4 linked regions of the Arabidopsis thaliana genome follow. The protein of the gene in region 2 purifies or fractionates together with the protein of the main gene of each other region. This does not show direct contact. Each region holds a gene or a part of one and is shown on either strand. Other genes may lie near its edges.

Region 1 (6,153 bases), about 16 Mb from region 2:
TCATCAGAACACAATATCTTTCTCCTCCTCTTTTGTCTTCCTTCGCCGTCGATTTTAAGGTTTTATCTTCTCCGTAGTGAAAGCACTGATAATTTCTCCAAGGAATTTACGAGGAGGATTTGGTTTGTTTCTCCTGCGTGTTAGAGTTTTACGATTTCTCTGTCGTTTGATTTCTTAATTCTATCCTCTGAGAGAACGAGAATTTGGTTTTCGTTTTCGAATTTAGGGTTGAAGAAGCGGTTTCGCATTGGGTTTGTTGTCTATTGAGCCAATTTGCTAAAGGAATTGAAACGTTGCGAGTTTTTGTTTCCCGGAGGTCCGAAGTGCGAATCTGTTTTGTTTAATGAAATTAGGGGTTTGGAATCGGAATTTGAATAGTCGTTTATGTTGACTACGCGATAATAGCTGAGATAGGACATGATTTTGAAACGGATTTTGACGACATTCGATAATCTGAATCTGAAGCGGTGCAAAATTGATTTAGAAATTGAGTATGGTAGCCAAAAGGGTGAGATTATGGTGTATAAGAAGAGACAACGAGCAAGCGTTGATCAACCATGTAGCAGAGAACCCGGAGTTCTAACAAGTAGCTCAAGCTCCTTGACCAGTAGAGAAGAATCTCAACAAGTGTGCTCTGACCAGTCCAAGTCTTCGCGTGGCAGAGTTCGAGCGGTTCCTTCAAGGTTCAGGGACTCCATTGTTGGTACATGGAAATCCTTGAAGAGTCGCAAGGAAGAGTCGACGGAGACATGTATCTGGGGAAGCTCGAAATTGCATCGAAGCAAAGACCCGAAGCTGTTTCCACGTAAGGATAACGAAGACAGCAGCGAAGTAGATTGCGATTACTGGGATGCTAACTTTGGTATGCCGAAAAAGTCCGACGCCTCGCGTAAGGGCGTGTACAAACCAGAGGAATTTACAGTCGGCGATCTTGTCTGGGCCGGCTGTGGTACAAGCGCCTGATGGGGTCTTGAAACATTGCGTCCCTGGCGCAATACGTGTCATGTTTTTTGGGTACTCTAAATGGAAAAAAATTGTCAATTGTCAAAAAGTCGTGTTAAATATAGATGTATTGTACAGATCTTTGACTTTGAAGTACTTCATTTGCTGATCACAGCCTCATCTTTATCTGTTTTTTTTACACTGTAATTATAGATTGGATGCCGATTGGTGCCTTTGTGCTTGATTCTCGAACTTCACTCCTGACTGAGAGTTTGAGTGGTCGCCTGAAAGTCCCAAAGGAAGGAACCATAGAACGGATGTTACAAAAATGTCTTATTCATGATCTTCAGAAACTTTGTCAACTGCAGGAAAAACTGTAACATATGGCTTATCTCATTTTCCAGATTTACAGCTTGTGCGACCTGTTTGTGACCTCAGTACCTGTGAGGTAAAAGACACTAATCAACTCTAATCTGTTGCTGAAACTTTTGTATTGATCTCTTGCAATAACTAAATTGCAACTAAGAGTGTTTCTGTTTTACTATGTAGGAACAATGCAAACTCTTGATGCTAGGCACATTGAACTCTTCCTTAGTGAAGGCTACAAAGATGGAAGCTGGGACTACAATCTGATTGGATCTCATAAGTTGCAGAAAAACGCAAGTGCAGCTTGTGGAGCCATATTTGACCTCAAACACCATAAAGAATCTTCATCCTCAGGTAACTTCAAATCTTCATTACTGTTATGTTCCTTTACTTCTCCTCTTTGAATCATTCTCCTTTGTCTCATACAAATTTCACATGAAACCTCTATAATAGGTATTCTCAACCTCAAGTCTTGGACCGGACAGCCAGATATTTCCCAACCTAAAGCAGTTATCGCACCCCATGCAGTTGCTGTTCACACAAGATTGCGAGAAAACGAAGGTATATAACTTTGCATCATCAACCATCTTTATCTAGAAAACACAATTACAAATAATTCTCTTGCCAAAAGGAATTGAATCCAAATTTGTTGTTTCAGTTGCGGAAATCCAATCAGTATTGTGGCATTTGCAAGAGAGTATGGCAGCCCTTCAAATGATGGAGATTGGGTGAGAATATATGTGACCATGTTTGGTGAAATACAGACCTGTAAGAAATGATTACATCTATTTAGCTGACTTGATTTGATGTATTAGGTTTATTGTGATGAGTGTGATGTATGGCCGTATGGGTGCGACAATAATTTATATAAGCGCTTTAAGGTACACCTTCATGCATCTTAACTTTTGATTCTAAGTAATGAACACGCTTGTTGAACTATCACACTAATTTGGTTATCATCTTAAGGAACTGGAGCACAACAGTTACTATTGCCCTAACTGTAAAGTCCAGCATGAGCTTATCAATATTAGAAGAACAGAACTCAGTGTTCAAGTATATTGTTAACTTCTCATGTTCTCCTGATTTTATTGTTTGCATTTCTCCATTGCTATAATATGCGAGATTTCCTCACAACCTCTTTGGGATTGGTCTACAGAAAAGGCGACACAGACTGAGCTGCCTGATGAGATTAATGTAGTCTGTAATGGCATGGAAGGAACATATATCAGAGCATTTCATGCGTACGTATTAGATGTCTCAGCCTTATTTCAATTTCTTCATTTAGAAAGGATCTTATTTGTTTATGAATTATGACTATGCAGCACAATATCGTAAATTGATTTTTTCTCTGAAAACGATAAAAAATCCGTGTTTAATCCTAGGTTTCTGTTATCATTGTCTTGTTGTTTTAGAGATTTGACCAACACATTAATCTTTGAACTATTGTTTCAGAATTGAGTGCAAGTGTGGTTCATGTGGGTCAAGGAAGCAGTCACCAAGTGAATGGGAACGGCATACAGGCTGTAGATACTAGATAGCGTAAGAGTGAAAGACACAATGCTACCTCTAGAAAAATGGCTTTGCATGAAGACTTTGATACTATATGTATCTGTATATGTAGAAGAGTATCAGTTTTATCTAAATGACTAGTCTCCAAATTTGTGGTTTATTGATTTCGTCAGAATGGTAGGCTCTTTAACTGATTTAAGGTGAAAACTACATTGGTCTTTGTTCAGTGTTAGATTTGTCTTTTGTGGGTTTGGAATGGATTAAAGAGGAGTCTTTTACTGGATTTTGTTGAATGCTAGATTTGGGTTTAGTAAACAATGAATCCTTTACTGGTTTTGAAGGATGTTATATTTGAAACTGATTAGAGCTAAACCCTCTATTGCTTAGTGGTTCTTAATTTAAGGGTTTTGCCGCAGCTTCCCTAATTTAAGCTTGTTTTCTAATACAAAGTACAAAAGCAGTGTGTTCGTCAACTATCTTCTTACTCTGTTTTCGTTTAGAGAGTTTTTGCAGAGATGAGGAGAACTATAACAATGGTGATAAAGATGTCAATACTTATGATATTGATTTCATCAATGGTGATGAATATGGTCGAGGTTGAGGTTGACCAGATTGAATCATGGGTCAAGGACTTCCAGGTTTCATTCTCTTTTTCACACATTCACACAAGCTTTATGTAAAAGAAGTATATATGAAATCAATATAACCTAACCAAAGAAAATGTTTTCTCTAGGATGGAAAAGCTGCTGTCCACAAAAATTCTCAACCTATTCCAGCTGAGAACAACGAACCAGTGAAGCTTGTTGTCGCCGAGAGCCTTGACGACATAGTTCAGGTCAGCGAGCGGAAACGTTGTAGTATACGAAGGAGACAGGACAAAGGAAGACTTCATAGTTCAGGGTTGGTGATACTAGCAGAAGATGATGAGGAAGAACACGAAAAGATGGATTAGTTAAAGCTTCCAAAAACTGAATCAAAACAATCATTATTACATTAGTTTGTGGTTGTGGATTAGCAATGTTTAAGTAGTTTGATCTATCAATCTCCTGAATTTCTAGATTGCAGATATTTTATCTCATTTTGCTGTCTCACTTGATTCGTGGGTTATATTGCTTAATTTGATTTAAACTCTGTTTTGTGTGGTTACATAGGACTCTGTTTCGCCTGTGTATAGGAAGAGAGTAATGACGTTGAGTGTACAGAGTTGGAGAAGGGTTTCGAGAAAAAATTGTAATTCTTGAATTCGTCTCAGCTTGAGAATAGTGAGTCCATGGACTTTTACCGGATATGAGTTGTACAATGCAGAGACTGATCCCGAACTGAAAGCTGTTATGAGAGGACATGGGAAAAGCCATTGGCTTCGTTTGACCGGAAAGAATTTATGAGTAGTAAGTAGCATATCTAAAGTAAACGCCATGCAAACAAAGAAAACAATGATGAAGATATAAGAGCATCCACATTGGTGGGCTTTTAGCAAATGTTCTTAACAATAATTTTATAATTTATTTTGAAGTTAAGAGTTTTGATAAGAGTTTTTTTTTTTTAAGAGTGTATTTTGTCTCTTATATAAGAGCAAAATCTTAGGCCTGGGCATTTTAACCGAACCGAACCGAACCGACCCGACTCAACCGAACTCAAACCGATCCAAACCAAACCCAATCTAAGACTCAAACAATTCGGTTGTATTTTATCTCAACCCAAATGGGTCGGTTCGGTTCGGTTTTGAACCAAACCGAACCGACAACCCAATGTCTTTATATACTTAATTAATTAATTCTATAAATAATATTACAAATAACTCTAAATATTTATTTATCTCTAACTAAAACTCTAACCCTAAAAAGTAAAAACCTAAGGTTTACTTCTAACTTCGTTTCATTTGTTCTTCCGTCGTCTCTCTCTACTCTCTACAGCCACGGTATGATTTTTAACTACTCTCTAGCAATACAATTACGCTCATCTCAATTTTAGTTAAATATTATGAGTATATGATGATTTTTTCAATCTGTACGTACACCGCAAAGTCATGGAAAAGAAAAATCTGTGTTTGCGTTGTCTTGTTTCTTCTATTTACTTAGATTTTTTAATTTTTAAGAATAGGTTTCATGTAGGTTGGGTGATTTTGTTTGTTTACAATATATATAATATATTTTAGCATTCATACCAATAATCAATGGATTTTCGTGCAAGAAAACAGATCATACATGTTTATTTAGTTTACTAATAATGAAAGATGTTTTAATAGAAACGTAATTGTATTCTTTCAATTGACTAACAATTTTATACATGTTTTGTTTGTAGATGTCTAAAAGAAACACGACTAGCAATAAAAGAAAAGAACCCGAGTCTCCAACAGTGTCGCCAAAGGCAAAAAGAAAACTACCTACAAGATCAACAGCATGGAAAGTCTTTACGAGGTTGAAAGATGATGATAATAGTTGCTCATGCAATTATTGTGGTAAAATCTATTCATGTAATCCTGCTACATGTGGAACCAGCAATATGAACACACACATGAGAAAGTGCAAAGCTTATTTGGATCATCTTGAATCTAATTCTCAGAATGTCATAGTCTCTAGTGGTGGTGGTAATGGTGCTGGCATGATAAAACCTTTTGATCAAAACGTGTGTAGGCAAGCAACGGTGAAAATGATTATCATGGACGAGTTGTCGTTTTCTTTTGTGGAGAATGATGGGTTTAAACATTTTTGTGAGATGGCTGTCCCTTGGTTTACTATTCCATCGCGAAGAACAATTACTAGGGATGTTGTTGGTCTGTACAGAGCTGAAAAAACTGCATTGAAGACTATTTTAAGTCGTAATAGGCAGGCCATGTCGTTTACCACTGACATATGGACTTCTATTACGACATTGAGTTATATGGTCGTTACTGCTCATTTTATTGACATGGATTGGCAATTGCATAGAAGAATTATTAGTTTTAGTCCTATTCCTGATCATAAGGGAAAGACCATCGCCAATCAGTTTTTAAGATCTTTGGATGATTGGGGTATTGAGAAAGTATTTTCTATCACTGTGGATAACGCAAGCGCCAATGATAAAGCTAATACTGTTTTGAAAGAGAGGCTAAGTAACAGAAATAGTGATGCTTTGATGATGAATGGTGATTTTATGCACATACGTTGTGGTGCACACATTCTTAACTTGATTGCCAATGAAGGTCTTGAAGATATAAGTAATAGCATCGTAAGTGTTCGTAATGCTGTAAAATATGTGAGGACTTCTAATTCAAGGCTGGAATCATTTAAGCGTTGGGTGGAGGTTGAGAAGATAACAAGAGGAAGTGTGGTATTGGATTGTGTTACTAGGTGGAAT
Region 2 (10,863 bases):
GCACAAGCATAGTTGATAGGGAAAAAGAATAAAGAAAGCAAGAGGAAAAATACCTGTTTTAGAAGAAATGAGCAAAAAGCTTCCTCAAATTTCAGATCAACACCTTCTGATGCTATGAGACATTCGCATATCGTTTTTGCTTTATTAATCTACACAAGCATACTGAATGTTATGCTTTATAAGCAGATAGAGTAGAGAAGAAATGGACCAATCAGTCTAAATTTAACAAAAGGAAAGAAAACGAGATATACCGTTTCATTTTGCTTGCCTGAAAATCCAACAGCGATGTGACCAAGTAACACCATGTAGAAACAATTAAAATCAATAACAACTCTTTGATTGTGGGATTCCAGTGATTTTTTATTTTTCCGTGTAATGGCTAAATCATCCCATGGAAGAAGATCGACAATCTCTGTGGCCAATAACCTGCTAATTGCCTGGCTCAAAAAGCATGGCCAGTCTTGAATTTGACATGAAGCTTCAACACTAAGGCCCTGTCTGAGCAGTTCGCGTAGCGCGGCAATTGCACCTCGCCTCCTCTCTGCATTTTCTGGCGTGCGTGGCAGGCCCAGTAGATCCAATGTGCAAGGTGGTGCAAGCTCCTCTAGTGACTCCTCAATCTATAAATATCAATTTTAACCCCTTAAAACCCAATATGCTGGTAAATTATGCTTTTGGACAATACGTACTTATATGTGAAGCTCCTAAACATGATGCGATTTACAGTAAGGCATGATCATGCACTTTTAATAATTCAAGCCAGTAACAGGGCTAAAAGTAAACTCAGAGAAGCTTTATATATACTAATGCAAGACAGTAGAACCTGTTACCTGAGTTAACAATGCAAGTTTCCCAAGAGTAACTTTACTCTTCAGAAAACTTTGAGCACGAGCAAGAGCTTCAAATCCTTGAGAGACCTTGTTAACCTCGAAAGCAGCCTTGGCAATTGCACACTAAATGGAAAACAAACATATTAGAGATAGAAGAAGCAGAGGATAGTGAAAGTAGATAACTAGTTCCCATTCTTAGTTCATTTGATTTTACCTCAGCAAGTGCCATAGATAAGAATATATCATGAATATATGGCTTTGAATCAAGGTTCCTGAGAGCAGCCCGGCCAATATCCAGCACAAGTTTTTCTTGTCCAACCTGAAGCATAGTAGCAGAAAGATCAGTACAAAACATTTGCAGGGATAAAACGCAATAAAAGGTCAGAAGTAGTACCTCTTGAAGAAGGCATAGAGCACCAGGCAACCATGCCCACGGAATTCTGAGAGGAGATTTAGGAGCAATCTTTTCTTTTAGGTTACCAGCATATTCTGATTCAAAAAGAAGTTTATCCCTAACATCCATGAGAAGATCCTACACATTAAGAACAAAGTATCAAGAAACTGAAGCCACATTCCCTGTCCAACTCTAGTGATACTATAGGTCTTAACCTGGCGAGCTGCAGCAGCTTCCATTGTATAACCCTCTTCAGCATCAGTTTTTTTCAAATTTATAACCGACTTAACGACCTCGTCTTTCTCAGCTTGCTCAGAAACTCCGATAAGCTGCAAAATCAATACAATTAACAGTATCCTGGAATAATGTCTAACAAACGAAACGCTACATTCTTTACACTCTATTGCAGAAATGAACTATGATACAATATTAAATTGCCAAATCAATACATCCATCTCGTTCTACGCGCTAGAGACTACAAATTGGAGGAAAATGTTTCTATTTCAACAAAATTTAGAAGGATAAAAACAAGTTCCACTTGCACTTCAACGAGGAGCTAAGTAGCAAATCGCGAGAGATAGTAGTATCTACAGAGATTCCGAAAAGTAAGTCAGTCGGAGCAAAATACCTGGTAACACGTAACCGGGAGTTCGATTGTAGAGGTAGATGCAGCGAGAGAAGAAGTACGAGACGGCGCATTGTCGACGACATGGATACCACCACCAGCAGCATTCAACCTCCTCCGTCCTTCTCGCTGAAACCGCCGCAAAGATAAACCAGAACCGAAGAATTCACCGGATTCAGAACGAACGACGAGGAGACCTGAGATCTGAAGCTCCGGGCGATCTACGACGAAGCTGGTGCTGCGATTGGAGATTCCGCAAAGCAGACAAGAAGAAGGGAGAACTGGAAATGTGTAAGCTACTGGCATTGCGCAACAGCTCCAGAAAACGAACGAACCCTAGAAGAAGTAGAGTGAAGCTGGAATCATGGTACAATTTGTTGGATTTCTTCAGAGGAGAAAAAATCGGAAATTTGGTCTCAAGGCTTTTGAGTTTTGACAGTGATTTTTGCCTTTTTCTGAAAGTTTCGTCTTGTGACGATAATAAGGTAACCCGCTGGCCGAAAGAGAGGCTCTGCTAATCTAGGACTAGACGAGACGAGACGTGGTCACGTGATCACGCCACGTGGATAATAAAGAAACATCTGGAAGATTATTTTATCCGTCCCTGGACATGGGCCTAGCTCTCGGCCCATAACTAATGTGCGAGAGAAACTACTGCAAGCTCATCGCATGCTACCAGTAGTCTAGTACTGATCAAAGGTTTAATTTGTGTGTAAGAAAAAACTTATATATAATTTAAAATTTGTTTAAATCTGATCAATATGATTTTTTCTGAATCAAATACCTGGAAAGTATATGTCTGGTGTAAACTTTTAACTTGATCAGATTTTGTAATACTTTCACTTAAGTTTAATATCATGAAAAAAGATTTAAGATATTTTGTAGTCATTATATTTTTGGAGGATAGCAAATTGCAACACTCAAACACATTTGGCTATATGAGAACCACGTTTCCTTTCTTGCAAATCAGCACCTCTTTTTTGTCCCGACTTAAAAATTCAGAAAAATAAAATGCCAATTTAGTAAAATAGAGAATATTTTTCACAATAATTTTGTGTGTTGTACAAGAAATGAGGTATTTCATTTTATTTTATTTTACTTTTTTCCTCTACAAGCAAAAACACACAACTACACAAGGATAAAACCTCTTGCCGTTGGGTTTATTTAGCTTCTTTGCAATATCCTTAATTTCGTCTCCGTCAGTAGCAGTCTCCGCCGGGAATATTTTTTTTCCGGTAGCTATGCTCCGAACCGTCTCTTGTTTAGCTTCGCGCAGCTCGTCCTCTCTATTCTTTCGCTTCTTTCGTCAGTTCCCTCGCTCTTACATGTCTCTCACATCGTCGACGGCAGCTCTCCGTGTCCCCAGTCGCAATCTTCGCCGAATTTCCTCTCCCTCAGTCGCCGGTAGACGTCTTTTGCTCCGACGAGGTTTGAGGATTCCCTCCGCCGCAGTTCGCAGTGTCAATGGGCAGTTCTCTCGCCTCTCTGTTCGCGCCGTCGCCACACAACCCGCTCCACTTTATCCTGGTTGGAATTTTTCACATATACTTCTTTTTTTCAATCTGTTTGAAGTTTAATTGCTAATTGATTTGTTCTCTTAATTCGGACATGTTGATTTGTGGCACTTGTGAAATTGTGGTTCTTACTTTAGGATAGGTTGTGAATTGTAGATAGGTGTGGTCCGTGTGGTGCATTTTTCATCTCATGCTTTGTGTCTACTTTGTAATCAAATGGAGCCATGTGTAACCTCTGCTGATGCGTGATTTTCCTTATTTTTGGTTGTTTGGATTCAGATGTAGGTCAAGATGAGGCTGAGAAGCTTGGATTTGAAAAAGTGTCGGAAGAATTCATCTCAGAGTGTAAATCAAAGGCGATACTCTTCAAACACAAGAAAACTGGTTGCGAGGTGATGTCTGTGTCAAATGAGGATGAGAACAAGGTCTTCGGTGTTGTTTTCAGAACTCCTCCGTAAGTTTACTTCATAATAATTTTTACTCTCTGTAAATTTGACCTGAGTATGTATTAGGCAATTGAAATTGGTACCTAAAGCTTCACTCCTTGAATTTAACTAATTGAAATGGTCAAGTTTATCTCTACTCATCAAAGCTTTTTTTTTCTGATTAGACCTAGTCATTTCGTTTCTTCTTCTAATATATTGGTACTTGTAAAGTGGTCTAAGTTTTGGAGGTTACAACTTGTCAAATTACTTAACGCTTTGTTAAAAGTCGATATGAGCAACTGCACTTTCAGTAGATATTGGTCCCACAGGCACCTCCTTGTGAAAGACTTGCAAAAACTAATAATGGAAGCAATTTTAGATCATAGTTTCGTTGTTAATGCAGGAAGGATTCCACTGGCATTCCGCACATACTGGAACATAGCGTTCTATGTGGGTCAAGAAAGTACCCGGTAAAAGAGCCATTTGTTGAACTACTCAAGGGAAGTTTGCATACTTTTCTAAATGCATTCACATATCCTGATAGGACCTGCTACCCAGTTGCTTCCACCAATACAAAGGTACAATGAGCCAAACATTAAGTCCTTCTTTTGTTGTCCTCAGTGGGCTAACCTCTTTCTTTCTGTTATTGTTATCTAAAGTGAGTCTATTTCTGATCACAACTCATCACTATCACTATCTATGGTAGGATTTTTACAATCTTGTCGATGTATATTTGGATGCTGTCTTCTTCCCCAAGTGTGTGGATGACGCTCACACCTTTCAGCAAGAGGGCTGGCACTATGAACTTAATGATCCCTCGGAAGACATATCTTACAAAGGTTTTATTTACCTAGGATTCCATTTTAGAGCTCTTTTCCTCTACTTTTCTTAGTATCGATGATATCTTTTAGTTTATCAGCTACTTCAGATACCCACTCATCCTATCTCATTGTTGATGTTTGATTTCAGGTGTTGTTTTTAATGAGATGAAAGGGGTCTATTCACAGCCTGATAATATTTTAGGGCGAATTGCTCAACAGGCAAGTATTGTGTTTTGCTTACTATAACTAGAAGTTTCTCGTTGTTGGTTTAACCTGATCTTGGGTTTTGACCTTATTAATCAACTAAATGATATAGCCATCATGAAAGAGTCGTTTGGACACTTGGAACAAAAACCTTGTTAGATAATCTGAGACATATTTGAATTTCCTTGATATAGTGGTTCTGATGAAATCAGCTACTACTGTTTTCACTTTTATTAGGCCTTATCCCCAGAAAATACATATGGTGTTGACAGTGGAGGTGATCCAAAAGATATTCCTAATCTGACATTTGAGGAATTCAAGGTTTGTTAGAAGTCAAATTAATATGCTAGTATATTTCTTGTAATGTGTAACTTCTGATGCATACTAAGTATATTTCTTGTTTTGGGACAATTTTAGGAGTTCCACCGTCAATATTATCACCCAAGCAACGCCAGGATCTGGTTCTATGGAGATGATGATCCCGTTCACCGCCTCCGTGTCTTGAGTGGTAAAGATTGATATCTCCTTTGTCTTACTAGAAAGAATCCTCATATTTTTTGTGTTTGTCGTCTATGTCGATTTGAAATACATCTTATCCCTGCGTTTCTTATATGTGCAGAATACTTGGATATGTTTGAAGCAAGTCCATCTCCCAATAGTTCAAAGATTAAATTTCAAAAGCTATTCTCTGAGCCTGTCAGACTGGTTGAGAAATATCCTGCTGGTCGAGATGGTGACCTTAAAAAGAAGCATATGTTGTGCGTTAACTGGCTATTGTCTGAGAAGCCCTTGGACTTGCAAACTCAACTTGCACTTGGCTTCTTGGATCATCTTATGCTGGGGACTCCTGCTTCACCACTAAGAAAGATCTTATTGGAAAGCGGTTTAGGAGAAGCTCTTGTCAGTAGTGGGTTGTCAGACGAACTCTTGCAGCCCCAGTTCGGTATTGGTTTGAAAGGTGTGTCCGAAGAGAATGTTCAAAAGGTTGAAGAGTTGATCATGGATACTCTGAAAAAGTTGGCAGAAGAAGGGTTTGACAATGATGCTGTGGAGGCATCCATGAATACAATTGAGTTTTCTTTGAGGGAAAACAACACAGGATCTTTCCCTCGTGGTTTATCACTTATGCTCCAATCTATTGTAAGTTAATATGCATTTTATGCTTACGTGTATGTCTATTCAGGTATCACTCCTTATTTGATTATTGTTTTTTTTAGTCAAAATGGATATACGATATGGATCCTTTTGAGCCATTAAAGTATACGGAACCATTGAAGGCCCTGAAAACCAGAATAGCTGAGGAGGGATCCAAGGCTGTCTTTTCCCCACTGATAGAGAAGCTTATCTTGAACAACTCGCATCGTGTTACCATAGAGATGCAGGTGATCTTTTACAAGTTTCTCGTTGCTATATAATGTTTCTTTGCTTTTGTGCTAACACTAGTTTTGCCAGCCTGATCCTGAAAAAGCTACTCAAGAGGAAGTGGAAGAGAAAAATATCCTGGAAAAAGTTAAAGCAGCTATGACAGAAGAAGATCTTGCAGAGCTAGCACGTGCTACAGAGGAGCTGAAATTGAAACAAGAAACTCCTGACCCTCCTGAAGCATTGAGATGTGTCCCAAGTTTGAACTTGGGTGACATTCCAAAAGAACCTACTTATGTTCCCACCGAGGTTGCTTTTGTTTTTGTTGTATTTCCTTATTTCCCGAGCTTGCGAAGTTTACTGATATGTTTTAAACAATAGGTTGGAGATATTAATGGTGTGAAGGTTTTGCGGCATGACCTTTTCACCAATGATATTATCTATACTGAAGTAGTCTTTGATATTGGTTCGCTGAAACATGAGCTTCTTCCACTAGTACCACTTTTCTGGTATGATTAAAGATTTCTTATGATTTCTTTATGAGTTTCTTACCAACTTTTTCCAGAAATGTGTATGGTGGGAATGCTAAATGAAGAATGTTGTTAGATTCTCTGCCATGCATTTTCAAAAGCATGGGAATTTTTTTATATTTTAGGGTGTACGTTGACAGCTGTAATAACGAATGTTTTACTTCTGTTCATACTGTATTGATATACTAACTCTGATAATAAATGTATTTTGACAGTCAATCATTACTGGAGATGGGCACAAAAGATTTGACTTTTGTTCAACTTAATCAGTTGATTGGAAGGAAAACGGGAGGGATATCAGTTTATCCCCTTACATCATCAGTGAGGGGTAAGGATGAACCATGCAGCAAAATTATCGTACGCGGAAAATCCATGGCTGGGCGTGCTGACGACCTTTTTAACCTGGTACTTTGTCATTTAAAAATCCCTTGCTTTAGCTTATCGCATTTTTCTCTAATTTTATGTATGTTGGCTTATGGGATATATAGTGCTGCCTACGTGATCACGATCATGTTTTCTTCGGTCTCCATGGCCCTGTAGTTAGTTTGCTAAATGTAGTTTACCAATTTGCTTGTGTTTAGATTTGTGTATGTTAGGTTATGGGATGTGTAGAGCTGTCTACCTGATAGATTTTTCTTTTGCTTGGGTCTCCATGAGATACAGTGCAGCTGTTACTGTGAGTCTGTGACACTGTGTAGATCTTTATTTTTTTCCTGTTTTTCCAAAATACAAAAGCGCTGCCTCTCTCATCTCTTTGCCCTTGTCTCTTTCTTCTCTAAGAAGTACTTGATGTTTTCTCGATGTCTTCGCTATGAGCCTATGACTACTGGATTATGGTAACAGTCACTCTGACTGCAAACCTGTTTTTTTCTGTTAAGATATAATGTAACCTTGATATAGAAACAGTTGTAGCGTATGGTGATTGAAGAACTTTTCAAAATGTTCAGTGTCTTTCATGAATCAGTACCATGATCCAACTAGACATTTATTCAATCCCATATTCGATTTTTTTTCTGTCAAACTTCTAGGTTGGCTCTTATCTTCATTGCTTTTTGTCTTCCTGCAGATGAACTGCTTGTTGCAAGAGGTTCAATTTACAGATCAGCAGAGGTTTAAACAGTTTGTCTCTCAAAGCAGAGCACGGATGGAGGTATGTAGTAGGGGTTTTCTTTTCTGTCTTTGCATGATAAGTGGAACTTGAAAGTAGTAGTATAAACATCACTTCACATTCTATGCAGAACCGATTGAGGGGAAGTGGTCATGGAATTGCTGCGGCGAGGATGGATGCAATGTTGAACATTGCTGGATGGATGTCTGAACAGATGGGTGGTCTCAGGTTGGAATTTGATAATTGTTTATTTAACTTTTAATTTGGCCCTTATTTATATCGTCTTCTCTCTCTGGTCTTGATCTCTGTTGAGAATGAACTTTATTCACATTTTAGAGTTTATCTCTACTATTCTTTTGATACTTGTAGAACCTAACAAAGTTGAGCATCTCTCTTTTGTAGCTATCTTGAATTTTTACATACTCTTGAAAAGAAAGTGGATGAAGACTGGGAAGGAATTTCATCCTCGCTTGAGGAGATCAGAAGATCTCTCCTTGCTAGAAACGGTTGCATAGTTAATATGACTGCTGATGGGAAGTCTCTCACAAATGTCGAAAAATCTGTTGCAAAATTTCTAGATTTACTCCCTGAGAACCCGTCTGGTGGGCTTGTCACTTGGGATGGTCGACTTCCTCTGAGAAATGAAGCCATTGTAATACCAACCCAGGTAAAAAAAAGACGTTTATATAGTAATATAGAATGTGGTTGGGTTTATTATTTTTGATACAGTAACTCGCTCTCATACTCCCTTTGCAGGTAAACTATGTTGGAAAAGCGGGTAACATATACAGCACCGGGTATGAGCTTGATGGCAGTGCGTATGTTATATCAAAGCATATTAGCAATACATGGTTATGGGATCGTGTTCGTGTAAGTGGTGGTGCATATGGAGGTTTCTGTGATTTCGATTCGCATTCAGGTACAATAACTGCTTTCTACTCTCTTGAATATGAAAAGAGTTACGTCAATTAATATATTCTTCTATTGGCCATATCTTTGTTCAGGAGTATTTTCTTACTTATCGTACCGGGATCCAAACTTGTTGAAGACACTTGATATATATGATGGAACTGGAGATTTCTTACGTGGCCTTGATGTGGATCAAGAAACACTCACTAAAGCTATTATTGGCACCATCGGTGATGTTGATTCATACCAATTACCTGATGCCAAAGGTTATAGCAGGTAAATGATGTTATTTTATTTTGTTTCTGTTTGCCTATTTGAACAAACATAACGGATCCTGAATCAAAATTGTTGAATCTCTTTCACCCAGTTTGTTGAGGCATTTACTCGGAGTAACTGACGAAGAACGACAAAGAAAGCGTGAAGAGATACTAACAACAAGGTTGGTTAAATTAAGGACATTCTCTCAATAAATTTTCTTCTGCATCCTAACTAAAAGTGTTAATTAACTTTTGTTGTTCCACAGTTTGAAGGACTTCAAGGATTTCGCACAAGCAATAGATGTGGTTAGAGATAAAGGTGTTGCGGTGGCTGTGGCATCCGCGGAAGACATTGATGCAGCGAACAATGAACGCTCCAACTTTTTCGAGGTGAAGAAAGCTCTCTAAACAGATTGGACAACTTTCAGTAATACTATTTACGATTGAGAATCTCATTAGATTTCTCTTGGTTTCTTTTCTACCGGAGTCAATGTCTTGTCAAAGCTATATTATTGAATGTCCAAACGTTACGAATTTTCACAGTAAATGAAGCATTTTCACAACCAATGTCCAACCTTAAAATAATTTACTCATTTTCTTCCCTTTCCACATTGCTCTTTTTGGTCAGTTTTAATTTTATTAAAAATTGATAAAAGTACATATGCTAAATCGCCAACGGGAAAACAAAAACCCCTGAAAAATTAAGTTGGCGAAAAATGCTGAAATTTCCGAAGACAACAACCCTAGAAAAAAAAATCCAAGTAGTTTCGTAATGACTTATTGCATTGCGACAAGACAAATGTTACGAAAATATATTAGCATGTGTTACTTTCTATTAGATTCTTTCGTAAATTCATTTTTTCCCATTTTTCCTCAAATTTATTTAGTAAGTTTTCCACTTAGTCTAAAATACTTTCATAGATTCGTATACATCATTCTATCATCCAGTTTACATTTTCATCGCACAATACAAAAATATTAGGGCCTGCCCAAAATATTATGTAGTAACTACGAAAATTTATGGAAAATTTAAAACTAGGAAAATGGAAATGAAGAAAAGGAAAAGAAAAAATATATATACACTTGTCTAGAAACGTTCATATGCAATATATGTTACCACTAAAGAATGAAAGTATGTATATAGGGAAAATATTGTTTTCAGATTTGTAACCCTAATAACCACAAAGTCCTTACTCCTTGGAGGAAGCATCATCAAGCTTTGAAGATCAAGTCTTACTTCCTATGAGCACCTCCAACGCTGAAATCCACTCTCAGGTTCTTATTTATATTATTTTAATTATTTAAATGTAATTATTATTATTTCTTAATTAGAAATAAAAAAACTGACTAATTACACAGTATCACATCTCATATGGGTTTCTCATCACAGGTGCTAGAGTTCTCGTTTTAGAATCGTATCTTTTCGGTTCTATTCGCTCTCTTACTAGTTTTTAAATTATTTTTATTATTTAAGTTATAAAAGAAATATTTACAGTCTCCGTTGGAAGTGCTCTAAGATCCCAAGCGATATAGAATAGATAAGAGATAATGTAAAAAATTCTAAATTAATAAATAAACAATATAAAATAAGAAAATTTTTGGTCTCAAATCGTATTAGTGTCAAAATAACAAAAATCTATAAGATACTAATTATTTTACAAATATATATATATATATACATATAATTTCATTCATAACATAAATTAATAATCATTTAATTTATGTAGGTTACATATAAATATAATATATATCAATGTCAGCTTTCAGTTTTACTTTTTAAAATAATATTTTGTTAAATTACATCACTAACTTTATTCTATAAAAAATATTATGTTATGTCTTAAACTATCTTATTGTAGTATCGTCTATAAATCTTCATTAAAA
Region 3 (7,901 bases), on a different chromosome or scaffold from region 2:
TGAAATTTGAATAATGACAGTGATATTTGAAAATTTATTTGCATGATGACGACAATTGACAAAAGAAAAGTTTATTTGCATAATACCGCTTTTATCTACGTTGCAAAGGACTGATATGCATATAAACAAATTAATAGTTGTCTATCTTTTATTTGTTTTAAATATAGTAATAAAGATCGTTGTGTTTATTTGTTTTCTTTTACTTAGGTACTTGCAAATTACTTGATAGTTGATACAAGAAAAGATAGAAAATTCAACTTTTACATGTTCATGTTTTTAATAGTGGAACGATAGGCTAAACTTTTTTATCACGTAAATAAGGGTTACAAAGTAATTTTGTATGCTAATCCTTATTTGCATCTGTCAACATTCAAAATTCTTACATTTCAAATGGGATTATATAGTAAAGGGATTTGACTAATGACTAAATAATGTCTATGTAACGCGTTCAAAATGGTAATGGTAATATATATTAGTATATAGTAATAGAGTTGATGCAAGTAAAAAAAAATCACTAATGTGAGATAATTTTTCCTTTTTAGATACAAACGAGTTTGGAACGTGGTACGTATATGAACAGTCCATAACATAACGTGCCAAATAGAATAATCGATTTTGGCCGAATTAAGTTCATGGATGGTTACGATTGAGGTGTAAGTCGTAAAGCGGTTTTGGTAGAAAATCTTGTGGATTCGATTGGAGGATCAAGAGTATAGTCAAGACATTGAAATTGCATTAGAATTGTTCAAGAAATATACTAGAATGAAATAAAGTAAAATGAATTCTTTTATCTTCATGGGCTAGTACCTAGTAATACCAAAAGAAATGGTATTTTTGGAGAAATTAGAAATTGATCGTGTGCCATTTAGTTAAAGGAAGAAATACCAATTTTTCCAATCCAGTTTCAGGCCAATCCAACCCATTTTTAAAATTCTTAAATCTTTATTGTAGAACATGGTTTTATGTTGATCAAATAGTGGTGTCCGTATAACTTTTAAGTGATTTGCAATCATATTTGGGCTATATCTAAACCTGAGACTTTGAGCCGACCGGTTTATTCGATTTCGGTTTGTCAGTTTTGCAGATTATTCAGAAAACAAAACCTATCCCGAATCAAACTTATTCCACATTATTCAGTTCGTTCGATTCGGACACTCATATATATATATATATATTTTTATTGTTTTCTCCTTTTATTTGTTTGCATCTAACTAGTGTTCTTAATTTTCCTTTTCCATAAGAAAAAACTAGGAGTATGTTTAGTTGTATTTGTAATCTTTGGTATCATTTAGGTGTAACTTGGGATTTGGGAAAAATACATGATTCAAGTTTGGTTGGAACGTGTTGTATGATAATGAAGAAGCACTGAAGCATTGATCAGTCAAAATGCTCGGGAAAAGGATGATTATATGAATGTTGTTGCATAGGGTACAACTTTGTGATAAGAAACAAACAACCTCGCATTGTATTATTTATTGTATAGCGAGTAGGAAGTAGTACTATACGATACTTCTTCCTATAAAGTTATATATTTATAAAGGTATAAATAAATATATACCTACGAAAAGAAAAAGTAATTAAATTTGTAAATGGATTTGTGCAAAATCCAAATTTTAAAGAAAGGTATGGTTAGGATATTTGATGAGAGTTTCGAGGGTTTTGCTTCTCGGAAAGGTACCTAATTATTCATCATTTTTTCTCTTCTTTTTTTGTCTCAATCCTTTTTTGAAAAGACCAAAAAAAAAAAGCAACGAGAAATTAGCATCTTTTTTTCATCATATGTGTATGTATATCAATGATCGAACGGTCGTCAGCTCACTGTGAGGCAACACATGAATCCAATTAGTTCTCAAAATTTATCCATTATCCACAATTCCACATAATGGTTAGCGATATTCATATAAACTCTCTTCATAATGATTTTTTTGTTGAAAAAACTTCTGATACTACGACATGCAAATTAGAAGCAGTATTAAGAAACTTACTTTTTTTTTTGACACACTATTTAAGAAACTACTTAAGAGTTAAGAGTTAAGACTGAAGCTTAATTAAAATAACGTCAATAAAATCATATTTTGTTTAAATTATTTCCCTTTTTGGGCAAATAATTAAATTATTTCCTAACCAGTTTAAGTTTCGTAATGCAAAATGGAATCTCTAATGTTGCTGGGTCAAGTTTTCTTCTACGTAGAAAAGACTTTTTGTATTGATTCCCCAAAGCCATTCTTCTCAATGTAAATTTGATTTTATCAGAAATAATAACCCAAAAAAAATACTCCAAATGTCTTTTCAATATAAAAATTAATAATTTGACTTGATATCAATCGGAAATTACAAGAGAGTATGGGAAGTCGTGGTACCGGAGAGAGTGCGGCTCTTCCTATGGCTTGGAATGCAGCAAGTTCTGATGACGAATGCTGAGAGGAGGAGGAGGCATCTAAGTGATTCGGACATTTGCCAAATCTGTAAAGGAGCTGAAAAAACAATCATACATATTCTTCGTGATTGTCCTGCTATGGAAGGCATTTGGATCCGCTTAGTTCCTGCGGGTAAGCGCCGAGAGTTCTTTACACAATCGTTATTGGAGTGGTTGTTTGCTAATCTGGGTGATAGGCGGAAGACTTGTGAGAGTACTTGGTCAACTTTATTTGCTTTGTCTATTTGGTGGGCCTGGAAATGGCGGTGTGGCAACATTTTTGGTGTTCAAGACAAATGTCGAGATCGGGTGCGTTTCTTAAAGGATCTGGCTAGGGAGACGTCCATGGCTCATGTGATAGTCAGGACACTGAGTGGGGGTCATGGAGAACGGGTGGAAAGACTGATCGCGTGGTCGAAACCCGAGGAAGGTTGGTGGAAACTTAATACGGATGGGGCTTCCAGAGGTAATCCGGGTTTAGCGTCTGCTGGTGGTGTGCTACGAGATGAGGAAGGAGCTTGGAGAGGAGGTTTTGCTCTGAACATTGGAGTTTGTTCAGCACCTTTGGCAGAGCTATGGGGAGTGTACTATGGCCTCTACATTGCTTGGGAGCGACGAGTCACACGGTTAGAGATTGAGGTGGACTCAGAGATTGTTGTGGGTTTTTTGAAGATAGGGATAAACGAGGTACATCCGCTGTCTTTCCTGGTACGATTGTGCCATGACTTCATATCAAGGGACTGGAGAGTCCGTATTTCACACGTTTATAGGGAAGCTAACCGTCTTGCTGACGGGTTAGCCAACTATGCATTTTCGTTACCATTAGGTTTTCATTCTCTTAGTTTGGTTCCGGATTCTTTACGTTTTATTTTGTTGGATGACACTAGTGGAGCTACGGTTTCACGTCAAGTGCGAATGTAATTTTCTTTTTCATTAATAAATCTTGGGAGACTTTGTCTCCCTTGGCTTACCCAAAAAAAAAAATCGAAAGTTACAAAGAACGATTTATCTAGTTAAAAAGAAGTTTTTTCTTAACTCTTAAACACAATTATTAGACTACTAAACATTCATAATTAATAATCATACAAAATGATTAGTCGAACAAATAAAATATCGCATCCTTTCCAATTTAAACGAGATCACGTGGAAGCGAGTACACACCACGCGCCGATACAGAGAGTGAGATTTCAAAATTCGACGAACCAATTTGCCTCCGTTCACATGCGATGCATCTTCTCTCTTAAATATCCACCGTCACCACTCTCTCTTCCTCTTTAGATTCTCTCTCTACAGAGAACTTGATTATTTTTTCTGATCTGAGAAAAAAAATGGCGAATGGAGCTAATAGAGTGGATCTCGACGGGAAACCGATACAACCGTTGACAATATGCATGATCGGCGCCGGAGGTTTCATCGGTTCACATCTCTGTGAAAAGCTCTTGACCGAGACGCCACATAAGGTGCTTGCGCTCGATGTTTACAACGATAAGATCAAACACTTGCTTGAGCCTGATACCGTTGAATGGAGTGGTCGGATCCAGTTTCATCGTATCAATATTAAGCATGATTCGAGACTTGAAGGTCTTGTTAAGATGGCGGATCTGGTAAAAATGCTTATCGATTTCGTTTTTTGATCTCTTGTTCTTCGGTGTTTATGATAGAAGTCTCAGATCTGATTCGTTATCGGAATTCAGATGTTTCGCAATGTATTGAGATCGGTGATGTTGTGATGTAATTCTGATGTTTCTTTTTGGATTCGCAGATTATAAATCTTGCTGCGATCTGTACTCCAGCTGATTACAATACACGTCCTCTTGATACTATCTACAGCAATTTCATTGATGCGCTTCCAGTTGTATGTGTTTTCTTCTTAGCTTCGTTCATTGTTTTGCTTTAGCTCTTGTTTTTGAAGTTGATGGAGACAGTGATGATTGTGTAATGCGTTGGTTTTGTTAGGTGAAATACTGTTCTGAGAACAACAAGCGTCTCATTCACTTTTCTACCTGTGAAGTTTATGGAAAAACCATTGGAAGCTTTCTTCCTAAGGATCATCCTCTGCGTGATGTAATGCCTTTTTGTACATTTCGCTTTCCACATGTTATTGTCTTTTTATCAATCTCATCGATGAATGTACTGAGGAACATGTTGAAGCTGACGTTTTCGTTCGTTTTAATAGCCACATTATGAATTACTCATTGGATCTCGTTAAACGTATTTTTGAATTGAATTAAGACTTTAGTCCGCTAGTCTATCACACACCCATAGAAGCTTGGAATAGTTGATATTATTCGTCTAAGGTTGGGTTCACTGTTTACTGATGTTGTTTGTTGTGCCTTTCTACAGGATCCTGCTTTCTATGTTCTTAAAGAAGATATTTCCCCTTGCATATTTGGTTCAATTGAGAAGCAGAGGTGGTCATATGCGTGTGCAAAGCAACTGATTGAGAGACTTGTTTACGGTAAGCATTTCTGTTTAAGATGATGTTGGTAAAAACAAAAGGTTTACACTTAACTTCACTTGTTTCTTGTGACAGCTGAGGGTGCTGAGAATGGGCTTGAGTTCACCATCGTACGACCTTTTAACTGGATTGGACCTAGGATGGATTTCATCCCCGGCATTGATGGTCCTAGCGAAGGTGTCCCACGTGTCCTTGCCTGCTTTAGTAACGTAAGTGTTCAAATCCAAGTATATAACCCAATGCTAGTCTGTGTATATATGCAAGCTTTTAGTTAATGCATCTCTATCTATCTTTCAGAATCTTCTACGTCGTGAGCCTCTCAAGCTTGTAGATGGTGGAGAATCACAGAGAACTTTCGTCTACATCAATGATGCTATTGAAGCTGTCCTTTTGATGATTGTACGTTCCATTGCCTGATATATAGCTTTTTGTTTACAAACTGTTAATGTTAGAAGTTCGAAGTAGTTTCAACTAAAACCTATAATGACATTGTATGTTTGTGGTTCAGGAAAACCCAGAGAGGGCAAATGGGCACATCTTCAACGTAGGCAACCCGAACAACGAAGTTACAGTAAGACAGCTCGCTGAAATGATGACCGAGGTGAGGAAGATGGATCAGTTAGGAAACTATGAAAATAGTTTGATTTCTCTGTCGCTGGTTCTCAATTCTCAAAACGAATCATGTTTCAGGTTTACGCAAAAGTGAGTGGAGAAGGAGCCATTGAGAGCCCAACGGTTGATGTTAGCTCCAAAGAGTTTTACGGGGAAGGTTATGATGACAGTGACAAGAGAATCCCAGACATGACCATCATTAACCGCCAACTCGGTAATTCTTCATAATCACCAACATGATAGATAATATGCTTTAAAATCAAAATCAATTGCTATTCTGATAGAATTTTGGACTTTGAAAATAGGATGGAACCCGAAAACATCGCTATGGGACTTGCTCGAGTCGACCTTAACCTACCAGCACAGGACATACGCTGAAGCTGTGAAGAAGGCAACATCCAAACCAGTGGCTTCCTAAACTCTCCAAGACCCCAACGAAACTCGTTAAACACGCGTCATTTTGGCATTTTACTCTATTCGATTCTATTTTTTTCATCCCAGAGAAAACTTTTTTTCTTTTTTCTTTTTAAGAAAACGATATAATCACGGTGGTTCGTTCCAAGTATACCTTTTCGTTTGTAAGTTTTCTCTTTTTGTTTGGTTTGTTTGGCCATGTATGTCGGAGCTGTCAGAAAGCAAGAGGTTAATCGTTTGTAGCGAATGATAAATGTTCGAGTGTATATTTTAAAATGCTTCGTTTTACATGTGTACAAGTACAAGAACAAATGTAATTATCTTCTGTCAAGTAACACATTGTGTTTCGTTCAGAAAAAAAACAAGTGGACTACAGAGTATGAAAGAAAGTCTAGTAGTTTTGGAACGCTCGACAATTAAATTCGATTTTATTTTTAAATTGTAATATATAAATCACAAGTAGCGTCTGTAGTCCAACGGTTAGGATAATTGCCTTCCAAGCAATAGACCCGGGTTCGACTCCCGGCAGACGCATTATCATTATTTTTATATTTTGAATTGTTTTCACTGAATTTTTAATTCAATGAAGGCAAAGCAAACTAGAAGAAAATGAGTCTTTTTTTCTTTCTTTCTAACTCATGTACATAAAATACATTGTTAGAGCATATTCTAGTTCAACTATTTCTGATTTAATATACTCCATCTACTTAGTATTGCGATCAAGATTAGATCATAACATATCGACATTGTATAGTACTTATCATGAATCAGCCAGCAACTTCGAAATTTTATGAACTTGAAAAGAGCAAAAATCATATTTCATTTAAACCCATTAACACTCCAAAATGACAACATAACATATATTATAATAATCCAAAAATTTTAAGATGCCAAAAGCCTCATAAGTCACTCAACGATTCACCAATACAGTCAAGTAAAAATTTCTATTGGAAAAATGTGACTTGGTGTGCAAATATCTTCTACTTTTTGCAAGAGGGACCACAAGGGAATGGGCATCTCTTCTTCCCTCCTGCACCAAAATGGTTTTAAACCAAATCAATAATCCACAATTCTCATCTCATATGCAAAGTTATCTTTATATATCTTAACTTTAGTTTTCGTTACCTGATGACTTGTTCTTCTTTCCACCTTTAGCTATCTCAAATGCACCATTTGGCATCTTTTTGCTCGGAGGAGCCACCTTTAAAGGTGCTTCAGCCTCTACATCTTCTTCATCTGAAGAGTCATCATCCTCGTCCAAACCCATCTAACCAAACATACAGAAAAAAACAACAAGATTACCTTTTTTTTTATACTGATTCATTGCTAATCAGTAAATACTTAAAAGAAAAATCTACCTCATCTGAGTCGGATTCATCATCTTCTTCAGGATTGATCTCATTTTGAGGCAAAGCAGCTTTTCAACAATGTCAAAGTTAGATTTCATAAGAGATACACATGTAAATATGACTACCACAAAGCAGTAGCTTAGTAAAAAAAGTAAACATACCAATTTGTTGTTCCATATATTCATCTAACTCAGAATCTACACAAACCAAAAAGCAAAAGATTAGCTTCAAGCTTCATAATAGAGTAAACCAAATCATCAACTAAAGAATTATAAACTCACCAGAATCAATCTCCTCATCCGTGAGCATCAGAAAAAAGCAGAGCAAAACAAAATCAAGGATAAACAAACAAAGCTTCAAAATTGCAAGTGAGTATGAATTTAACTAGAAAAAGACAATGAAAGAAAGGATATAGTTCGTCAAAAGCATCAAAGGTCCTGTAACCAATAAGATAGACACTGCTTGTACTGTTGTGAGAAATCTCAAACTCGTGCCCTAAGTAGAGATCAATAGAAAATTGAGGAAACTTCTGTGAGAGATTTCCAATCATAAACCCATTCTCATCATCACCAATCTTCACATAAACGGCAAAAGTCTCATCTTTTTTAACCTTCTCAACGTCACCAAGGGTAACCTAAGAGATGTTACAACA
Region 4 (7,474 bases), on a different chromosome or scaffold from region 2:
AGAGGGAGACCAGAAAAAGCGAGCGTAGAAATGGAGAAGCAAGACGAAGAGGACGACTAAGAGAAGGAAGACTAGAGCAGCTAAAAGAACATTGGAATTGTAAGAAGATAAGATCTTGAGGAAGCTTGAGAGACTGCTTTTGACACTCATTGAGCCGCCGTCTTCTTCACTCATAATCTTGGAGAGACTTCTCTTTTATCTCTTGATTTCTTTATTTTGTTGGAGGGCCAACTATATACATGTGTCTAGAGTAAAAGTGTATAGTATAGGGATAATCAAAATTACGCATATTACGAACAAAAATGAAAGAAATATATTAGTCGTTTTCCTTTATATAATAAACCCATAAAATCAGGATATTTGGTCAACAATAATTTCTCAATTTAAGAATATTTAATAGAAGTAGCTAACTCATTCTTGAACCTGAAAATAATATTGAGGACCAATGTATAATTCCTTATGAATAAAAAAAAATTATATATATGGATTACATGCATAATCATTGTTTGGAATATTGATGAAATGTGATGTGTAGAAGTACTTGAAAAGAAAATTATGGGCCTTTGTCTTTTAGTGTGTTGTGGTTGCAACCAAAATAATAGAGTTTAAAAGAAGGGTGGGGTTTGTTTTGTATCTTTATAACTACATTATGAACCAATCTCTAAACATATGTTGATATATATACTTCCATAGATTTTTTTGTGTGTTCTATATATATACTCGATTTTAGGTTCAACTTCAACACATGACCTTGTCATTAAACAAATTACATAATAGTCTTAATACATCAAGTAATCCTGCGTTCCTAAATTGTCATTAGTAAGATGAAGAACTATATAAACAAATGAGAATCAGAAATGGGTAATAATACAAGAGAAGTAGGTAATGGATGTCACATGAAAGTTAGCTTAGAAAAGAAGGCAAGTAGGGTGAGAGATCGGAAGATTTTACGTGAACATAAAGCAAAAGTAGAAGACGAGGAACGCTATGCAATTTTTTCATCAAAACCTCTTTACACGTTTCTCTATTAATCAAATCTTATACTACTACTTTTATTCGTTTTTCTTAAAAAGCATATATTATAGTATCATATCATCTATACCTGCGACATATATATTCGATGTGCGCAGGACCTAACCACGAGGAGCCGAGGAGGGTCTTTGATGGTAAATCTTCAAAACTAAGTGACTCGTCAAGGCGACGGAGGGAACAAATCCCCATGATTCTCTAAAATGATAATTTTTTTCACTTCTCAATATTATAGACTATAGTACTAAAGAATAAAAGAATAATGCTTCCTAAATTTCGATTAGCTTAAGGGTCATTTAAGAGTTTTCTTATATTTTTGCATTATTCACATAGAAGTGCAGGTATTGTACTTGAGTGGTATAATAATTGTTTGTCAAACAGGTGCGAGAAAATGACTTTCCATGAAAATGGCAGTCATGGAAATAATAAGAAAGATATAAATGTAGATAGGTGAGGGGGGGGGGGGGGGAGAGATTTGGAGTCTATAATAAGAACTTTATTGACCAAAAGTGACTCTTCTTCCCATAAAATAAGGATTGCAATTGCAGTTGCCAACACCACAACACTACTCCTTATTTTGGGCCTTTATTTTTCCAACTTCCAAGCATTTAGCCTTCTTTACTTCTTTTTGACCTATTTTCTTTTGTTCCTTGTTGGTCATGTTGTAACTCTTAGCTTTATGCGTTCAGTTCCTTGATTTGGTTTGGTTTAAGCATTTTGGGTTCTTTTCACTTTTGAGAAATGAGTCGGAGTTAGAAAACCACATTTTATTTTGGTTTTGGTTTGGATATAATCGTATAATCATATAAATATAAGTATTCTTGCATATAATTAACTAAAATATGATTTTTAAAAAATATGATTTATTATAAAAGTTTAGTTTCGACTTTGATGTTCGGTATTGTTTGTTTTTTTCGCCATTTCTAGTAAATAGTAATAATATAGTTGTGCTACAAATTGTAGCCTACAATGTACAATTGTATGTAAGAAATAGTTGGCACATACATCAAAGTATCAATTATCATACATCCACTTACTAGTGCTATTGTGAAGATAAACGTTTAGAAAAACACATACAAGGGTACTTAGAAATGAGGCATAAAAGATAAAATCTGATATTCAATGCAGGAACAGCTCATGGTCAGAGGAAATTAAATGGTGAAAGAGAGATAGAGAAGTGCTTAAAACATGGTGTTATTTGTGGTGGAGCCTTTCGAATTATAGGTTTAGGGTCCATACAAATTTGTTGGGTCCAAAATTAACTAACTAGTTTTTACTTCTTAGAAGCACCACATGATTGTTCCCTTTGCTGCAACACCAAACATGTCAATTACAGATTGTGTAACCTGCTGGCCACAAATCCATTTCGGATGATTGAAGATGAAAGCAAGGATACTAATTTGATGCCGAATACTATTATCTTAAACCAAATTGACACAGTAAAGAGACGACACAATAGTCAAACACTTACACAGCAACAACATAAAAAAAAATCTTAAGATTCTCTTTCTCTAACACAGCGCAAAGACTCAAACTTTTGAAGCTACCATCATGTTCAGTGCCAAGTATAATATATTAAAATAAAGCAAAGCACACTTAGTGATGCCAACAACCAATTTTAATTTGATCACTTAAGTGCTTGCCTCTGTTTTCTTCTCTTCTTCTACCTTCTCCTTTTTTGTTTCTTTATCTTCCTTTGCAGGCTCTTTCTCTTCTGCTTCCTTGGCTTTCTCCTCACTTATATTTTCCTCAACCGAAAGATTCTCTATTAAACCAGCAGCCTCGTCGCCCTGGGTGCTCTCTTTCCCTACTTGCTGGCTTTCAGCTATTTCAGTGAACTTCTCCATAAATGTTTTGCAATCTGTTGATGCAACACTATCAGTTAGCCACTCGAGAATCTAAAACCAAAAAGACAGATGCAGACCCTAGGATATTAATCTCATAGATTATGTCAGCGTCTAATTTAACATAGATACGATTATGGTAGTTGTTTAGCACAACTTAAGGATCATGGAACCCTTTTGTTCATTTGTTTAGTGATAAGACCCACAACCGCAGAGACCAACAGAGTCTTGGAAAATGGCCTGAGATGTTTATTCTCAAGACAACAATGTCTCCCTAAAATTATAAAATGAGGCAACATTATAAGTATTGCCACTACAAAAGCAGTATTCCATTTCAGTCTTGAGCTATCTATATGGACTTGATGAATCACAATTCATGGGAGACTTAAATCATCACAACTAGAGTCTTATAAAGAATACCTTCCAAACCATCTTCCCTGATTCAACTATCATAAATTAAACATCGAATACTACTAAATGTACCCACGTTACTCTCAATCAAAAACAAGTATACGAATTTCACAAGTATAAACTTACTCTCAATGGAAGCAAATCGAATGCAGAAAAGCTCATCTTTCAACTCGCCGTCGGAGAAATCAGTAGCGTGCCATAAACAAGACTTTTCATTCCCACTATGTTCCTGAACACTCATCCCAGACGAAACTGCATAATTTCAACAAAAGATACATAAAGTTTAGCCCTTTCGAAGAAAAAAAAAAAAGATCTTCTTCGAGAGAGAATCAAACATACTGAGGTGATTGGCACAGATCTTTAGGGTTTTAGATTGTCTCATAACAAGACGAACTTTTCCAGTTTCCTTATGCTTCAATAACTTCACAGTTCCAGCTCCTCTCTCCTTCCATTGGTTCCCTTCTTTATCGAATCGATACATCTTCGATTTCCTACAAAATCATAAACCCAGAAGAATACATCTTCTATCAAAAATCCGACACTCATCTTCTATCGAAAATCCAACACTCACTTTAACCAGAGGCAAGGAAACTAGAATATTAACGGAACGAGTAACATACAGATCGAGGACGGCGTCTTCATCTTCTTCGCCGGTGGTGACTGCAACCTCTTCAAGCCTAACGATCGGAGCTACCTGAGCTCCGGTGTCTTCATCTTCGTTGACTTCGGTTTCATCTTCACGGTTCTCACGCTCTGGCTCAGTGCTCGCCATCTCTGTATTGAAACTTGAAAGTGTGTGTGTGTGCTCTGCAACTTCTTTGGTTGTTCAATTTGGGAGAAGAAGTTTCGAGAACCAGAAGAAAAAACTGGAACCAGGGTTTTTAAACTTTATATCCAAAGTTAGGCTTCTGAATTATCTCTAGTGGGCTAACAGGTCATTATCTCGGTCATTTAAGCCCATTAAGGCCCTATACGACAATTCATGATTTTGGTATGTAGATGAAGCTAGAAAGTGTGAACTCGTATCGACAATATAGAGGATGAAACATCATGGCTAAGGAACGCCACAGCTCAAAGACCTGTAATGAGTAATGTACCATATTTAAATTATGTATAATCTCTTTACAAAACTAAAAGTAATACAGATACTCCACATTTATCTTGGAGTAGAATGTAGATGATGCTCTATGAATGTACTCCATCCTTAACACATACGAAAAAAATTTGAACTGCTTTTTTTTTCTCAGTCGTGGACTGCCTTTGTAGTGTTAAGGTAGACCACCGTGACAATCTTTATATATGAACGGAGGTGGATTATTTATTTATTAATTTTTTTTTTTTTGAGAGGTGGATTATTTACAAATGGATATTATATAATGTAATCAATCATGCTTTGATATCAAGCTGATGTCACTCGACACTAGTATTCAATCAACTACTGCCGATGCTAGTACAATGTAAGCTGAATATGAACATTTATAAATTTTGGAAACGTGTTAAACATTCAATTAACAAATTTTTTTTTTGACCTGTTTTTTATCGTAACAAAATACCACTTGTTTGCCTTCTCGTTACAGTAGGAAAAAGAAACGTTTTCATTGTCGACGACTCAAAGAGTAGAACCTGAAGTCCGATAACAGTCGATAGGTAGTAAGATATTTTGACCAAAACATCGTGAATTTATTGAAATGCTGAACGAAAACTGATACAACATCATTTCATGGACTCGAGAACTCTTATTACTGGCACGGTAATATTGAATATTGATGCTAAAGTCAAAAGGGACCCGCTTAGTCATTTGTCTGATTTCCAATTTTAAAATCCGTTTTTGAATGAAGCTGCGTTGTTTCAATGACAAATCTTCGTGTTTGTATAATTTAGGGTCTGAAATAAATAGTCAACAAGCAAAACCCAAAACGATATGAACTGGAAGGTTGTGTCAGATTACAAATGAATCATCAAAGGGATTAAAATCCTCAGACAGGGATAACTGTTTTTTCATATTTGTTCTCATCATCCACAATCTAATTTCATTAAATCAAAAAGAGAAAACATAATTCCTTAGAATTCAAAGATTAGCCTCAGCAGTCCTAGTCAAGAAGATAGTATATCAACACACTTATTGAAATTTCAGTAACCATTAATATCTAATCTTCATCAGCCTCTTTATCAGATTAAACAAAAAAACATTAACCAACAAAAACAAATTGAAGTTGTTAAATCATATTAGAAAGAAGAACTCAGTCCCTTAGATGTTCATAATAATGCGATCATTACCGCAATCATTACAGGTCTGTAAACTGACTCATCACTGTTCTTCCAAAAACTTATACAAAAACCCAAATCTAGATTTCAATACGAATAATATATAGCTGCTCAGTTGTGATTCTCCCAAATCAACATCAGCAAAAATCGTATAAATACGAAATCACCGAAGATTCATAGGGAGAATTATATAAATAACGAAAGCAACACGATTGATTTTGCTTCAAGGGAACGAATCATATGGGAACGAACAAATCCACATAGACTATCTGATGAAGCCAATCTTTCAATAAACATAAATCATGATAATCCTAGACAAAAGGCAAGCCCAATAACAACAATAGAGAGAACACCAAACCCTATGAAAACTACAGGATTAAAAACGAAGCTTTTCAGTGAATTGATTTTGGATTGCTTCTTCTTAAACTCTAAAGTTGGATTTCCTCTATTTATAGTAGAGAGGTTTTGAGAAAACCCTAAAAGGCTTTTTTCCAATAAGCCCATCGAATGTATTTTTTTAAAAGCCCAATACTGTTTGTTTTGGGCTTGCCATTGTTAAATTTCTTGTTACTATGCTTTGTTTGCATGGAATAAAAATTATAATTCATTTGAAAGAAAATTTCCTCAAAAAGTTTATACAATTGACTGATTCCGTGATTAATCTTAAGATTCTCTCTTCGAATGTGTTAAAATATTACTAACCGAATAATTTGATGGAAAGAGATTTAAAAAGAAGCTAATAGATGAGAAGCGTATACAACAACTGGTTCCATGTATCAGGTAAACCAGGCAAACACCAATGGCTACAATCTGCAGACTGGTCTGGTCTAGACCTTTGTGAACCGCTAATGAGGCCGCTGTATACTGACGGATGACCGTCTTTTCTTAGGGAAGAGAGGAGTGTTATGTCGAGAAGAAACGCCGGATTGTGCATCCCGTGAAGCACTTCAACAATCACTGATCTTAGCTGATCTGTGTAGGAGCTCACTGGATAAGCTGTTCCTGTGATCGGTTCTGTTTCTCCGTAGCAGTTCTTGGATCCTGAAGACGATGATGCCGCCCAGTCACTCGGGCTGATCAATCCCAAAATGTATACAAATGGTGTCAGGACATTCATTTCAAAAACATCAGAAAATATGATCCAATATAACAAGAGAGGCTGAGTTACTTGTCGTGTGTTGGAGAAATGGAGAGGAACAAGACTTGTGTTCGGGATCTATCAACGTGAGTTTCGACCCAATACGCCCAAGTACGAAGTGCTTTCTCCATTGCCACAAAACGGTCCATGTCTTGGTAATAAGAATTGCCTGATTGAATCAAGTCCCATCTGTGTTCACAAGAAGATATATAAAGAAACTTTCACACTAGAAAATCAAGTCATTGGAAGTGTGGTAACTTACCCTTGCATAGATCCGGTGTGGCTCCACCAGTGACCAGTGTTGAAGATGAGGAGATCAGCGTCATGCCAAGCATTGGCATTACCAGAGATCTCATCCAGCTTCAACACACGCTTGCCTTGAACAGCATCTATGTCCACCAAGAACGGAGCTTTGTAAAATGACATTGTTATCCCATAATCCTATACATCAAAAAACAGTTTTCTTATAGAAGAACCTGAAAAACAAGATGTGAGCCATTGAAGAATAAGAAGAAAGCATTACCAAGAATCTGAAGGTGGAGAGAGGCAAGCCTCTGGTCATTTCTGTCCGAGTGGACGGTGCAGATGAAACAATAAGGCAGATCAAAGACTCCCATTGATTCTTCCCCAATGAATCACCCGCAAACATTATGGTTTTGCCCTTCATTTTCAACAGAAACTGAGCACCATTGAACCTAATCCATTTGTGAAAGACCAGAAATCAAACACTAAAACCACAGAATCTCTGATTTTGAGCAGTCGTAATATCTTAAAGTAGAATTCTTTC

The links.
Region 1: the proteins of PREP1 (region 2) and AT3G62510 fractionate together in Arabidopsis thaliana (co-fractionation; one large-scale study listed by BioGRID). This does not show direct contact.
Region 3: the proteins of PREP1 (region 2) and AXS1 fractionate together in Arabidopsis thaliana (co-fractionation; one large-scale study listed by BioGRID). This does not show direct contact.
Region 4: the proteins of PREP1 (region 2) and RANBP1 fractionate together in Arabidopsis thaliana (co-fractionation; one large-scale study listed by BioGRID). This does not show direct contact.

What each region holds. Positions count from the first base shown.
Region 1 is NC_003074.8:23,120,006-23,126,158, forward strand, and holds AT3G62510 (disulfide isomerase-like protein), read left to right. Parts: upstream 1-2,825; 5' UTR 2,826-2,847; exon of another isoform or gene 2,848-3,183; intron 3,184-3,330; 5' UTR 3,331-3,332; coding exon 3,333-3,455; intron 3,456-3,550; coding exon 3,551-3,769; 3' UTR 3,770-3,786; downstream 3,787-6,153. Other genes in the region: AT3G62499 (YTH family protein), read left to right, coding at 1-144; AT3G62500 (F-box protein RMF), read left to right, coding at 418-949, 1,156-1,272, 1,347-1,379, 1,492-1,662, 1,762-1,869, 1,967-2,036, 2,124-2,189, 2,275-2,361 and 1 more.
Region 2 is NC_003074.8:6,624,102-6,634,964, reverse strand, and holds PREP1 (presequence protease 1), read left to right. Parts: upstream 1-2,800; 5' UTR 2,801-3,090; coding exon 3,091-3,376; intron 3,377-3,642; coding exon 3,643-3,817; intron 3,818-4,191; coding exon 4,192-4,366; intron 4,367-4,494; coding exon 4,495-4,627; intron 4,628-4,707; coding exon of another isoform or gene 4,708-4,745; intron 4,746-4,757; coding exon 4,758-4,828; intron 4,829-5,050; coding exon 5,051-5,134; intron 5,135-5,230; coding exon 5,231-5,321; intron 5,322-5,432; coding exon 5,433-5,953; intron 5,954-6,030; coding exon 6,031-6,195; intron 6,196-6,265; coding exon 6,266-6,484; intron 6,485-6,556; coding exon 6,557-6,684; intron 6,685-6,920; coding exon 6,921-7,110; intron 7,111-7,771; coding exon 7,772-7,855; intron 7,856-7,943; coding exon 7,944-8,041; intron 8,042-8,215; coding exon 8,216-8,480; intron 8,481-8,569; coding exon 8,570-8,732; intron 8,733-8,817; coding exon 8,818-8,998; intron 8,999-9,089; coding exon 9,090-9,161; intron 9,162-9,245; and 3 more. Other genes in the region: PARC6 (plastid division protein), read right to left, coding at 54-149, 252-620, 831-953, 1,045-1,149, 1,225-1,362, 1,440-1,553, 1,853-2,155. UniProt on the Arabidopsis thaliana protein: ATP-independent protease that degrades both mitochondrial and chloroplastic transit peptides after their cleavage. Also degrades other unstructured peptides. Specific for peptides in the range of 10 to 65 residues.
Region 3 is NC_003071.7:11,862,687-11,870,587, reverse strand, and holds AXS1 (UDP-D-apiose/UDP-D-xylose synthase 1), read left to right. Parts: upstream 1-3,589; 5' UTR 3,590-3,744; coding exon 3,745-4,020; intron 4,021-4,178; coding exon 4,179-4,271; intron 4,272-4,372; coding exon 4,373-4,480; intron 4,481-4,759; coding exon 4,760-4,874; intron 4,875-4,949; coding exon 4,950-5,083; intron 5,084-5,171; coding exon 5,172-5,273; intron 5,274-5,382; coding exon 5,383-5,475; intron 5,476-5,564; coding exon 5,565-5,700; intron 5,701-5,791; coding exon 5,792-5,904; 3' UTR 5,905-6,311; downstream 6,312-7,901. Other genes in the region: HDT4 (histone deacetylase-related / HD-like protein), read right to left, coding at 6,881-6,930, 7,026-7,167, 7,259-7,317, 7,411-7,446, 7,531-7,550, 7,663-7,883. UniProt on the Arabidopsis thaliana protein: Together with AXS2, catalyzes the conversion of UDP-D-glucuronate into a mixture of UDP-D-apiose (UDP-Api) as the main product and UDP-D-xylose to a lesser extent, via a cycle of oxidation and reduction.
Region 4 is NC_003076.8:23,677,659-23,685,132, forward strand, and holds RANBP1 (RAN binding protein 1), read right to left. Parts: upstream 4,278-7,474; 5' UTR 4,057-4,277; coding exon 3,905-4,056; intron 3,776-3,904; coding exon 3,624-3,775; intron 3,537-3,623; coding exon 3,411-3,536; intron 2,891-3,410; coding exon 2,661-2,890; 3' UTR 2,405-2,660; downstream 1-2,404. Other genes in the region: ATL63 (TOXICOS EN LEVADURA 63), read right to left, coding at 1-174; PMR5 (Pmr5/Cas1p GDSL/SGNH-like acyl-esterase family protein (DUF828)), read right to left, coding at 6,286-6,622, 6,718-6,876, 6,950-7,128, 7,211-7,382.